Ovis aries: one gene and its partner. Each later gene encodes a partner of the first gene's protein in a complex. Links are inferred from orthologs where the notes say so. Each region holds a gene or a part of one and is shown in the gene's direction. Other genes may lie near its edges. The genes, in order: NADPH--cytochrome P450 reductase and HMOX1.

Region 1 (6,948 bases):
GATCCAAGATGCACACATTGCAGGAAGCTTTCACTGGCTCCCCAGTGTACACAGACTCCTGTGTGTGCTCCTGGGAACAACTCCTGGGTGAGGTGTTCAGTCTCTGCTCACCACTCCTCAATGGGCCTAATTTGAGCCTCACCGAGCATTCAGACAACTAAGATCATGGCATCTGGTCCCATCACTTCATGGGAAATAGATGGGGAAACAGTGGAAACAGTGTCAGACTTTATTGTTGGGGGCTCCAAAATCACTGCAGATGGTGACTGCAGCCATGAAATTCAGAGACACTTACTCCTTGGAAGAAAAGTTATGACCAACCTAGATAGCATATTGAAAAGCAGAGACATTACTTTGCCAACAAAGGTCCGTCTAGTCAAGGCTATGGTTTTTCCAGTAGTCATGTATGGATGTGAGAGTTGGACTGTGAAGAAAGCTGAGCGCCGAAGAATTGGTGCTTTTGAACTGTGGTGTTGGAGAAGACTCTTGAGAGTCCCTTGGACTGCAAGGAGATCCAACCAGTCAGTCCATTCTAAAGGAGATCAGCCCTGGGTGTTCTTTGGAAGGAATGATACTAAAGCTGAAACTCCAGTACTTTGGCCACCTCATGTGAAGAGTTGACTCACTGGAAAAGACTCTGATGCTGGGAGGGTTTGGGGGCAGGAGGAGAAGGGGACGACAGAGGATGAGATGGCTGGATGGCATCACTGACTTGATGGATATGAGTGTGAGTGAACTCTGGGAGTTGGTGATGGACAAGAAGGTCTGGCATGCTGTGATTCATGGGGTCGCAAAGAGTCGGACACGACTGAGCGACTGAACTGAACTGAACTGAACTGAACTGATGTTCTCTAAGCAAAGTTATACCCCTTCATTGACCTTGTTAGCTCTGCCTGGAAGACATTCTTTTCATCTGTCTGTAAAACTCCTAGGCATCCTTCAAAACCCATCTCCCAGAATCCTTCTCTTACTGCCCAGGACAGTCAGTTTGTCCCTTTCCAGATACTCTCAACCTCTGCTCACAAGCTTGTAACCATCTAATTACCTGCCAGCCCCTCTTCACAACTATGAGCTTCCCCAGGGCAAACACAGAGCCTGGTTCATCTTGGGGTCCTCAGAACAAAACCCGGAGCTGGGTGCATGTGCAGGTAGGAGCTGGAGAGATCAGGCCGGATACATTCAGCTGTGAGTGGGAAAAAAACCCCCCAAATCAAACTGGCTTAACGAATGAGGACCTTCATTATCTCACATGGAAAGAAGTCCAGAAGCAGGTGGGCAATTGGCACGGTGTGACCGGCAGTTCAGGAACCACTATTGGCTTTGTCCTCTGGCCAGTTCTCCTCGCGGCTGCATGAGGGCTACCAGAGAGCCCATGTCACCAGTGGGCATGACAACATCCAGAGTCACAGAGGCAGCATGTCCTCTGAGGTCTTGCTCTTGGGAGCCCCCTCTGTGCCCCCCCCTCAGAAGAACTCCCCTCCTTGTTTCCTTGATCAGAACCAGGTCATGGGTCACTCCTAAGCCAGGTGCCATGGGGGAGACTGTCTGGGCACAGAGGCTGTTGGGAGGCCACCTTCCACACTGGAAGGGAGTCACAGCCTGATCGCGAGAGCACGTGGGACATATTTACAGAAGGAGCTGGGAAATGAGAGAGACTTTGGCGTGTCTAGAGCAAGCAAGGTGAGATGTGAGGAAATAAGGTTGCTAAGGATGGGTTTCCAGACCCCTTGTCCACTGTAGTCATCTCATTCATTCATTCATTCAAATAGTGATTGAATAGCTACGTGCTAGGTTCTGCATCAATCCTATGAAGTACGTATTATTATTTACATTTCAGAGTGAAGAAACTGGGCCGCAGGTGGAATAACTTGTTCAAGCTCCCAGAGTAGGTGGGGACAGTCATATCTGCGTGGCTCACAGTGCAAAGTTCTGAGTCACCCCAAGAGAGGACCATAGGGTACAAGGGCAGGTTGCATGTCCCGAACTGGCCTCACTCGCCTGGGCCCTGACCAGTCCCACAGGAAGGCTGGGCTTGGCTGGATGGGGCATCTGTGCTGTTTTGTAAGGGATGAGGGCCTTGACCAAGGCACAAACCATTCTGGAACCAGCTCTGATTCCAGCGCCTGGCAGGAGCACTCGGGGTGGGGCCGTTTTTTAGATATAGGTACCCTGGGCTCCACCCCTAATCCCTTACACCACACCTCTCCACTCCATAAAAGGCCACCATGGGTCTCAAGCCCTGGGAAGGCAGGACGGTGCCTCAGCCCAGGAGCTGGCCTGGCCGGTTGGCCCTGTCCAGGGCATCCACACCTGCAGCTGCCCAGGTGGGTGTCTTCTCAGCATGGGGCAGGGCAGGAGGAAGGGGGCAGGGGCCAGAGGCTAAACACTGGAGGTGGCAGCCTTGCTGCCTCACCCTTCCTCGGCCCTCCTGGGCAGCCAGGTTCAGGGCAAGGAGGGCAGAGAGCAGGCTGCCTGTACTTGGCAGGTCAACCAGAACCAAGACAGGTAGCTAAAGGCAGGGTGGCTGAAACCAAGCCTCAATGAGGAGGTGGAGTAGCTGGCTGGGGTCTGTCTTGTCCCAGACTGGGTTGGGGGTGGGGGGCGGTGTGAGAAGGGAAGGGAAGAGGAAGGAGCTGGTGCGGGACTTGTCCCCAGCCTGTGCCCAGGCCTGGTGGTACAGCAGGGGAAGTTGTGGATAGAGCTGCTGAAGCAAGGGCTCTAGTCCCGTCCCTGCCATTCATTTACTGTGTGACGTTGGACAAGTGCTGCGACCTCTCTGATCTGAGTTTTCTCACCTGTACAATAGGGAGGTGGCCTGGGATGATCTTAAAGATTTCTCTGGGTGGACCGTCTCAGCTTTCGGTTTGTGGTGGGCCTGGATGTGGGTGCCCCACCCTCTTCCTCACACCACCTTTTCTCACCTTCATCCCCTCCTGCAGCCACTTCAGACTTCCAGTCTTGGGGCCCCAAGCCAAGGACTGGCAACTTTTGGATCAATTTTCAGGGCCTCGTGGGGGCCCAGGTCTTCATGGTCATCTTCCTTCTTCCCTAGGGCATCCCGGGCAGGCATTTTTATTAGAGAGGATGTGGATGCCCTCGTGCCTGGGGAGGTGCAGGCCAGAACTGTGAAGGGTGTGGTGCTGAGTCCCTGGGGAACCAGCCCTAATTTCTCTAGCTCTGTGCTTCTGGGACACCCTGCAGAGTGATAATGTGTTCGCCTGCCTGACCCCTGGCCTCCTGAAGGGGCCTCTTTGGCATGCATGGTGTCCAGGGATTTCTCTGCCTAAGGGTTTGGAAGTCACTGCCCTAGAAGACCCAGGAAGGGGTGGGGGATGAGAACAAGCTTCATTTGCAAGCAGCACTACAGAGATAGATGGGGTTCCCCTTGCAGCCTGGGAAGCTCCTCAACTCTCAGGGGGGCAGGCACCAGCAGCCTCTGCAATGGGGGATCCCCCCAGCTTAGGCCAGGAGCTGGGGTGTCCTCTGGAGACCTTCTAAAAAGGGGACAGGAGGACTCCCTCGGCAGTCCAGTGGTTAAGACTTCACCTTCCAGTGCAGGGGGTGCAGGTTCGAATCCTAATCAGGGAACGAAGATCCCACAAGCAGCTGTTGTGCCTGATCCTCTGTGACCCCATGGACTGCAGCCCACCAGACTCTTCTGTCCATGGGATTTCCTAGGCAAGAGTACTGGACTGGGTTGCCATGCCGTCCTCCAGGGGATCTTGTCAACCCAGGGGTCGAACCCGTATCTCCTGCACTGGCAGGTGCGTTCTTTACCATTGAGCCACCTAGATCCCACATGCCCTGAGCCAAAAAAACAAAACCTAAAACAAGCAACACTGTAACAAAATTCAATAAAGGCTTAAAAAAAATGGTCCACATCAAAAAAATGTTAAAATAAATAAATAAAAAATAAAAAGGGAGAGGAGAAGGAGACACCCTCTGCAAAGCAGGGTTGGTGGTCAAGGGGCTGCAGGCTGGCTGGGCAGCCCAAGGCAAGGCAGGAGTTTCTAGCGCTCCTTCCTTCTCCTGCTAAATCCTCATCCCTCTTGAAAAAGACGTTCTGGGGAATGAAACCAGAGTTTTTTTTAAATTTCCTGAGCTACCACAGCCTTTCTCTTGACAGAGCCAGAGTTGCCAAAACGATTAAGATTAAAATAATCCTGTTATTGTCCTTATGGATCTGCACAAGCATTTCCTTTCTGGTAGGAAGAGAGCTAGTTCCCTGAATTTACTGGTTCTACTGGTTTGGTCCTGGAGCTCCAGTTGAGGCCTCCCCAGGGCAGAATGCTAATCTGGGTTGCCCATCTGGTGCTCTTGATTATTAACAGGAATAATCAACCAGCTTCCCTCATGCCCAGGCTGCAAGCATTCATCTTTAGAAATCAGAGGCCACACTAACATCTCAGCTGATGGTTTCACCTTCCTTTAGCTCATTTCTCAAACCAACTTTGGATGGGGGATAGGATGAGAAACTGAGGCCCTGAGTCAGGGGCAGATTTCCACAAAACTCAAGTTACTTAAGCTTCAAGATTCCCATTTGCTGAAACAATAAAGTATGTGAAAACGATCACTGAAGACATGCTAAGTTTTACCTTTTCTGTCATTACAAACCATCCATCTGTGACTGATTTCAACAAAATGAAACAAGTTCTGGGAAATCATATTTGCAATATTGTGCTCTTTTTCTTGAAGGGGGCTCCTGTGAAAACTGCTGCGGTCCTGCCAGGGTCTCTTGGGCAAGAAGTGGTAAGACGGAGCATCCAAGTCAGTGACTTTTCCCTCCAGCGCCTCTGATCCTTCAGCCTGTCCCTTTCTGCTCCCACCTCACTGTTTTCAAGCGAAAGTGTTGATATCGTCTACCTGCTTTGTTTAATCTGCAAATGCGGGTGGTAGGTTTATGGGAAATAGTTGGCAAGGATCGCCTTACTTTAAAAATAAGCCTGTGATCTCTGTTACGGGGGATTAGACTAACTTATATTGTAAAAGGTGGATATTTCACGGGGATGGATGTCAGCTCACTTAAAGGGAAACTTAAGCCCATCAGAGATTTCAAAGGTGGATGGGTTCTCTGAACAGGCAGGAAGCGCCCAGTCATGAGATATGGGCCGAGAGAAGCTGGAGGCCATTGGTTGCCGAAGAGGCGATTCCATCTTTGGGGAGAGGGTGTTCAGGCAGATGCAGTGTAAGAGGGGACCCTGAGAGCCTGCAGGGGCAAAAGCGTGGAAAGAGCCCAACCAAGCGTGCAGGTGAGTGAACGCAGGAGAGGAGGCCTCAGGACTGAGGATCTGGCTTAGATGCCTGGATGATCTCGGCTATGAGGGCAGCAGGGTATTATGTCAGTTCAGTGTCCCCACGTTTGGGGCGGGTGGTTGTCACCAGGGCTGCTGCTGCTCTTTCGGACCCTACTCCCAGCTCTTCTTCCCTCCGTTGTGATTTCCCATTTCCACTTGCGTTGTCGCTTGGCCCTGACCCTGCTGGGCAGAGAATAAGGTACCTCTCTGTTTCTCCAGCCAGGATCCAGGAAAAAGAACACCTGCTCCTCACCTTGTCACAGGTGCTGCAGAGGCAGAATTTGACACTGGAAGGGATCTGAGAACCCAACCCCTTCACAAGCTGTCAGCTAGTCTGCACACAGAGCAGGGCAGAGCCTCTGTTTTTTCATCTATGACGTGGGAACAATAGTTCCCAGTTCTTGGGATGGGGTGAGGTTTTAATTAGATCTACGGTTCTCAAACTCCAGCCTCCATCACCATCACAGGGAGGGGGCTTTTGTTAAAACCCAGATTTCAGGACCCCCTCTACCCACCCTAGTAGACCTTGAAAGAAGCCTGAAAGGTAGCATTTCAAACCAATTCAAAGGTAATGGGAAAACTCCTGGTTTGAGGGCCAACACTTTGAGAGTCACTGAACTAGACCGAGACGTTCTATATCTTGGCCAGCCCCTCAAAGTCAGGGACCAGCTCTAAATCACTCCCGTTTCTGCTTAGTGACTGCTCAGCACAGGCATGAGGCAGATGCTCTCAACAAGAGCTGTCCGAACTGAATGTTAATGCAAACCAAGCAGGCTCCTCCTCAGAGGCTTTTTCAATGGCCGGCACTGGGTTCTGGTTGCCATGGTGACCGCTGGAGCAGAAGCCAGGAGATAACATAAACACCCGACTTTTCGTAATATTGAGGAGAGCAGGCAAAGGTCTTGTTCCAGCTGCACGTGGACAAAAATGCGGAGGGAGGCAGGAAAGATGGGACTTTCGAAACCTCCCGTTACACAGACACCCTCCCATCTGCTCGGCAGCTGGCCTCAAACCGGGAAGGATTTAAACTTTGGTTGCATAACAGAGAAAGGAACAAAGGGAAGGGGGCTGGGAGGGAGTCTGTCTGTAGGAAACCGGAAAGAGGAGGACATCCTGGTCCCTGGGAACCAATATATAAACTCGGTGACTTAATCCATTAGCCCATTTCGTCCTCACCCAAACCCCAAGAGGGTGCCTTTACAAGGATTCACAGAAGCCGTCCAAGGTCACACAACTGTCTGGGCCTTGGTGTTAATCCAGATTGGAAACTTGATCTGCTGTTGCCAAAGGCCAAGTTTGTTCTTTGATTTCAGGGCTGCCTCTTTGCTGAACTTTGGACGTGGTTTAGAGAACCTAGGAGTGTGGGGGTGGCAGGGAGTCTGTGAGAAATGTTTGGGGAAATTTTAACACCCCAGGGAGCCAGGCTGGTCATCATCCTGGCTTCTCCCTTCAAAACAACTGTCCCTTCCTCCTTTATCTGCTTTTGTGTTTGAATCTACCTGAGCTGTGCTATGCGATGGACATGCTATCCCCCACACTGTTCTGGTCACGTTAACCCCACAAGGCAGTGGTTCTCATATTCCAATGCGGAAAAAAGTGAAACTTATTTAAAATGTCAATTTCTGCCTGGCCTCCAGAGATTCTGATCCGACAG
Region 2 (5,879 bases), on another chromosome or scaffold:
CCACCGATGCTGCTCCCTTCTCTTCTCTATTGAGAATAACTGGCCAGACCTTTCCTGTTGGTTTGGGGGACCCCTATTACACAGTGTTTTAATAACTGAAAAGTGTGGCTGGGGTTGCATCTTAAAGGTAGTTGGGAAAGTGGCTGTGTATTAGATGGGAACCTGGGTTTCTGCAGAGAAGCCTGAAAAAGCGGAAATCTCTTTTTTTTTTAAGTCCTGCACGCAGGCAGGGGTATCCCTCAGAAGCTCGGCATTGGAAGGGACTGTGCTCAGAGCCCTGTCCTCGACTCCCTTGCTCACCTCTGTACCTTCTCTCTGCAGCATGCCCCAGGATTTGTCAGAGGCCCTGAAGGAGGCCACCAAGGAGGTGCACACCCAGGCGGAGAATGCCGAGTTCATGAAGAACTTTCAGAAGGGTGAGCTGACCCGAGAAGGTTTTAAGGTATGTGGACTGGAGGTACCAGCCTTGGCAGGGGTACATTGGGTGGGAGTGCACCCAAAGCGCAGAGCAGTGATATTAGTGGGGATGGCTACTAGGGATGCTGAGGGAGCCGCTGAGCATGTTCAAGGGAGTCATTTTACAGGTCATGACCTTGAGGCTCAGAGAGTGGAAATGACTTACCCAGGGTCACACAGCAGGTTTCACAGCCTGCAGTGTAGTATTGTGGAGGGGCTGGGGCAGTGGTACTCTTTTTAAGTGACCACCTAGTGCCTGCTTGGCATTTTACTCACTTAATTTTAATTAGTGCTTCAGCTTTGATAAGGAAGATGAGGAAGGGAAGGCTCAGAGAGGTTAAGTAACTAACAGAAGGTCACACAGCCTGTAAGCAAATGGGAGAGGCCAAAATTGAGCCAAGCCTGGTTATCTTATCTGGCTGTGAAGGTAAGAGGGGAGTATGGGTTGGAGCTTGAGTACTTCTGTTCCTTAATAGTAAGAATACGGGCACCATCTAACCTCCCCAAGGTACCTTTTCCTCACCTGTGAAATGAGCCTTTTCAACAGCAGGGTTTTCCTTTTTTTTGACCACACTGCACAGCATGTGGGCTCTCAGTTTTCCAACCAAGAACTGAATTCATGCTCCCAGCAGTGGAAGCACGGAGTCCTAACCATTGGACCAAGGGGAATACCCAGCATGATTTCCTTAAGTGCCCGTTGTATTTGAGGCATGAATTTTTGCTATTACCCAGCACAGTTGTGAACTTCATAACAGGTAGAAGGAAAGCATGTGAGAAAAGAACCTGGCAGGTGCTGGGTGTGAGGAGAGGCTTGTTTGGGTTGAACAGTGTGCGTGGGGAGCTGTGGCTCACCACTCCTGACACCCTGCCTTTGCGTACTGGGAGACGCCCCCTACTTCCAACAGGAGAGGTGCTTCAGTGAAGGGCGATTTAACCTGCAGCTCTAAGGGGCTCACAGCCCTGGGCTGTGTCCTGTGGGTGTGAGGCTAGCCCTTACTCCTTCGTTCTGCCCTCCACCCACGTGAAAAAGCTGACATACACTTGCTGTAACGTGACTGGGGCAGTGGGAGTGGGGAGGTGGCCGCTGGAGTACCCCATGCCCAGCCACTGTACGCTTTGGAGCTTCCTTCTTGGCCCCTGAGTTCAGAGTCTGCACAAAGATCCAGGAGAGGACCCAGTGCTCGCTCAGATTGTGCTGATGGAGGTAGCGTTTTTTATCATCACGGTCCAACTTCAGTGCTGACTACCAGGTCGCGCCTAGTGCTTCACCTCTGCCATCCTCCCTGATCCCCATACCTGCCCCATCACTCTGTGGTCAGATTACCCTTCTACATAAGGAAGGGAACCTTGTGCAGAGTCACCCAGGCCCCAGATTGCCTAGAGAGGGTGAGTGGTATTATCCACCGTCACCCAACCAGGGACTGGCCGAGTGGAGTTAGGACCAGGTCGGTCACAGTTGAAAACCCAGGCTGCTCTGTACCAGGCTGCCTGGGTTTCTGCCCTGGTGAGAGACAGTGCTCCCATGAATGATTAAAGGTTCAGAAATCACCTGAAAACCTCAGCCGGAACATCTAAACTTTGTCCTCTTTCTAACTCAAAACTAGAAAATTAATGTGTAATGGGAGTTACCCGAGCCAAGGGGCACTGGGCTGTCTGTCCCCCAGCCCAGCTTTCAGAGGTGATGGGGTTCAGAGGGGTCTTCTGGGGAGAGCTGTGCCCTGCAGATGGATCCCCAGAAGTCAAAAGCCAGGGAGAGGTGCCTGGCATCTCCTGTAAGCACTTTCATTCACTTACTTTCTCCAGAAAGCCATGCCTGTGCTTGGCTCCATTTCTGTTTCTTACTAGCTTTGTGACTTCTGTGTCTCATACCCTCTCTGAGCCTTAGTGTCTTTTCTGTAAAATGGGCATAGCCATTCCTTTGTTAGATTTTTCCAAGGATGAAATGAGGATTCGTATTTTTTCCAGTGTAATAAAAGGTTTTTAGGCTCAGACAGTGCACGATGAAAATTTTCTCCTGTGACACTTTCTCTGGCTGCCACGTGGGGAGGATTGGAGGGGCTGGCAGGAGGTGGGAGCCCAGCCTGGGGAGGTGACAAGGATGACTCTGAAGGCGATAGTGCGAAGGGGCTGGGTGCTCTGATAACCACCTACTTGCTCTGGTTTCAGCTGGTGATGGCATCTTTGTACCACATCTACGTGGCCCTGGAGGAGGAGATCGAACGCAACAAGGAGAACCCCGTCTATACTCCCCTCTACTTCCCAGAGGAGCTGCACCGCCGGGCCGCCCTGGAGCAGGACATGGCCTTCTGGTACGGGCCCCGCTGGCAGGAGGCCATCCCCTACACACAGGCCACCAAGTGCTATGTTCAGCGACTCCAGGAGGTGGGGCGCGCCGAGCCCGAACTGCTGGTGGCCCATGCCTACACCCGCTACCTGGGCGACCTGTCTGGGGGCCAAGTTCTCAAGAAGATTGCTCAGAAGGCCCTGAACCTGCCCAGCTCTGGGGAGGGCCTGGCCTTCTTCACTTTCCCCAATATCGCCAGCGCCACCAAGTTCAAGCAGCTGTACCGCTCCCGCATGAACACGCTGGAGATGACCCCCGAGGTCCGGCAGAGGGTCCTGGACGAGGCCAAGACCGCCTTCCTGCTCAACATCCAGGTGAGGGTCTGGGCTGTGCTGCGTGGCCACCCTGCCTCCAGCTGCTCTTCCAGGGACATTTCTCGCAGGGTTGGGGGCGGGGGGCGTCAGCGGTCATGGTTAAGGGCAGGGGCTTGGGGTCCAGGGTTCCAGTTCTGTCACTTACCTGGTGGGGTGATCTTAGGCAAATCTTTATCTTAATCACTTTGTACTTCAGTTTCCCTATCTGTAAAATGGGGATATAATAGCACTTAGCTCACAGAGTTGTTGTGACTGCTTAAATCAATCAAGTCCCCAAAGCAGGACATGTTACAGGGTCAGCCCTCGAACATTCAGTTCAGTTCAGTTGCTCAGTTGTGTCTGACTCTTTGCGACCCCATGAATCACAGCACGCCAGGCCTCCCTGTCCATCACCAACTCCGGGAGTTCACTCAAACTCATGTCCAGCGAGTCGGTGATGCCATCCAGCCATCTCATCCTCTGTTGACCCTTCTCCTCCTGCCCCCAGTCCCTCCCAGCATCAGGGTCTTTTCCAGTGAGTCAGTTGTTCGCATGAGGTGTCCAAAGTATTGGAGTTTCAGCTTCAGCATCATTCCTTCCAATGAACACCCAGGACTGATCTCCTTTAGGATGGACTGGTTGGATCTCCTTGCAGTCCATGGGACTTTCAAGAGTCTTCTCCAACACCACAGTTCAAAAGCATCAATTCTTCGGCGCTTAGCTTTCTTCACAGTCCAACTCTCACAACCATACATGACCACTGGAAAAACCATAGCCTTGACTAGACGGACCTTTGTTGGCAAAGTAATATCTCTGCTTTTCAATATGCTATCTAGGTTGGTCATAACTTTCCTTCTAAGGAGTAAGCGTCTTTTAATTTCATGGCTGCAGTCACCATCTGCAGTGATTTTGGAGCCCAAAAACATAAAGTCTGACACTGTTTCCACTGTTTTCCCATCTATTTCCCATGAAGTGATGGGACCAGATGCCATGATCTTAGTTTTCTGAATGTTGAGCTTCAAGCCAACTTTTTCACTCTCCTCTTTCACTTTCATCAAGAGGCTTTTTAGTTCCTCTTCACTTTCTGCCATAAGGGTGGTGTCATCTGCATATCTGAGGTTATTGATATTTCTCCCAGCAATCTTGATTCCAGCTTGTGTTTCTTCCAGTCCAGCGTTTCTCGTGATGTACTCTACTCTGCATATAAGTTAAATAAGCAGGGTGACAATATACAGCCTTGACGTACTCCTTTTCCTATTTGGAACCAGTGTGTTGTTCCATGTCCAGTTCTAACTGTTGCTTCTTGACCTGCATACAGGTTTCTCAAGAGACAGGTCAGGTGGTCTGGTATTCCCATCTCTTTCAGAATTTTCCACAGTTTCTTGTGAGCCACACAATCAAAGGCTTTGGCATAGTCAATAAAGCAGAAATAGATGTTTTCTGGCACTCTCTTGCTTTTTCGATGATCAGCGGATGTGGGCAGTTAGCTACGGTTATTGTACGATGTGAGCATCACCATTGTGGCACTCTGTGACAACTCCCTGTGACGACATACAAGTAGGCTGTGTGCTCATATGTAGCCAGGTTGGCACTGCAGGGTTCACGGATGCTGCAGACCTGGCCTCCGCCATCTGGGCCTCTCAGCCCAGCCAGGAGGCGTGATCTGTTCTTTCTACAAGTGTCTCAAATCCAGGGGAAGATGGGTTTTGCCTTGAAAGGTGATCTCTTAGGCAGAGCCAGGGTGGGTGTTCCCAGTGGGGGTGAGATTCCTTCTAACCCTGATGTTGTAGAATTCTGTCGCTCTCCTCCTATCTGGAGGCCCTGTGGGAACTGGGCTCTTAGTTTATGCTTTCCTGGCTCCTTATTCCCAGCCTGGGATCCCAGAAGAGATTGGTCATAGCACTTGCTATTGAGCAATGTGCGTCCTTTGCATACCACTAAAAACCCAGCACACCTGGTCACTCTTCTAAGAAAAGCTGTATCTTTCAGAAAGGTGGTGTAGAAAGAACAGGCGCTCTGGAGCCAGAGCCCCATGGGAGGGCTGGCCCTTTCCGTGTGACCTCTGGGTTAGTCACCACCCAGGCACTGAATTTCTGGAGCAACAATGTCCTGGTCTGTAACCCTGGCTAATGAGTACCACAGAGCCTTGAGTGCCTGCTTGGGTACCACTCAAGACATGGTAATTTGCAAAGGGACCCAGCATACGGGCATGAGTGGCCATTCAGAATGGCTGTTATTGGGGAGCATTTGGAGAAGACCAGACAGGCGAGTTAATGAACTTGTGACATCTTATGTCTTAAGCTGGATGTTCGGTATTTTTACTGTGATTCTGTTCTGTCGTGCTATTTCACAATGAAACCTCAGACCTCCCATCAGCAGGCGTGGCCCCACCTTTCATGGAGACGTGCGCTTTGTTCTCTTGCAGCTGTTTGAGGAGTTGCAGGGGCTGCTGACCCAGAAGCCCAAGGACCGTGATCCCTCGCAGGGACCAGACCTTCACAGGCGAGCCGGCAGCAAGGCACAAGGTGAGGGCCTCCCGGGGGGCGTGTGTGGAGGGCACGTGGCCCAGCCGTCTGGTTCTGGTGTCTCAGACTCTTCTGTCTTCTCCAGGCTTTATATGGGAAGTCGGGGGTGGAGCCAGCCTTCACCCAGATGACCCCCTGCACCTCAGTCTCCCCATTCTAGAATCAGGGGGGTTGGGCTGGTTCTAGGTCACTTTTGAGTACTCAAAGGATACTCTGAAGTCATGGCAAGTCCTCCCCCCCCCCCCCCCCCCCCCCACACAC

The links.
Region 2: the proteins of NADPH--cytochrome P450 reductase (region 1) and HMOX1 are in contact, whole or in part, in a crystal structure (PDB 3WKT), measured with the Rattus norvegicus proteins. The link is inferred for Ovis aries from reciprocal best matches to the Homo sapiens genes POR and HMOX1. Residues at the interface, in NP_113764.1 of Rattus norvegicus: Thr88, Thr177, Asp208, Asp209, Arg313, Arg514, Lys515, Gln517, Arg519, Leu520, Phe522, Lys523, His626, Lys665, Met667, Thr668, Lys669, Gly670, Tyr672; in NP_036712.1 of Rattus norvegicus: Asp12, Ser14, Glu15, Gln38, Ala75, Pro76, Glu81, Lys149, Ile150, Lys153, Ser171, Asp173, Asn174, Thr176, Lys177, Phe178, Lys179, Gln180, Leu181, Arg183, Ala184, Arg185, Asn187, Thr188.

What each region holds. Positions count from the first base shown.
Region 1 is NC_056077.1:34,589,731-34,596,678, forward strand, and holds the start of NADPH--cytochrome P450 reductase, read left to right. Parts: upstream 1-2,241; 5' UTR 2,242-2,324; intron 2,325-4,695; 5' UTR 4,696-4,749; intron 4,750-6,948. UniProt on the Homo sapiens protein: This enzyme is required for electron transfer from NADP to cytochrome P450 in microsomes. It can also provide electron transfer to heme oxygenase and cytochrome B5.
Region 2 is NC_056056.1:179,235,880-179,241,758, forward strand, and holds part of HMOX1 (heme oxygenase 1), read left to right. Parts: intron 1-321; coding exon 322-442; intron 443-2,622; coding exon 2,623-3,114; intron 3,115-5,518; coding exon 5,519-5,618; intron 5,619-5,879.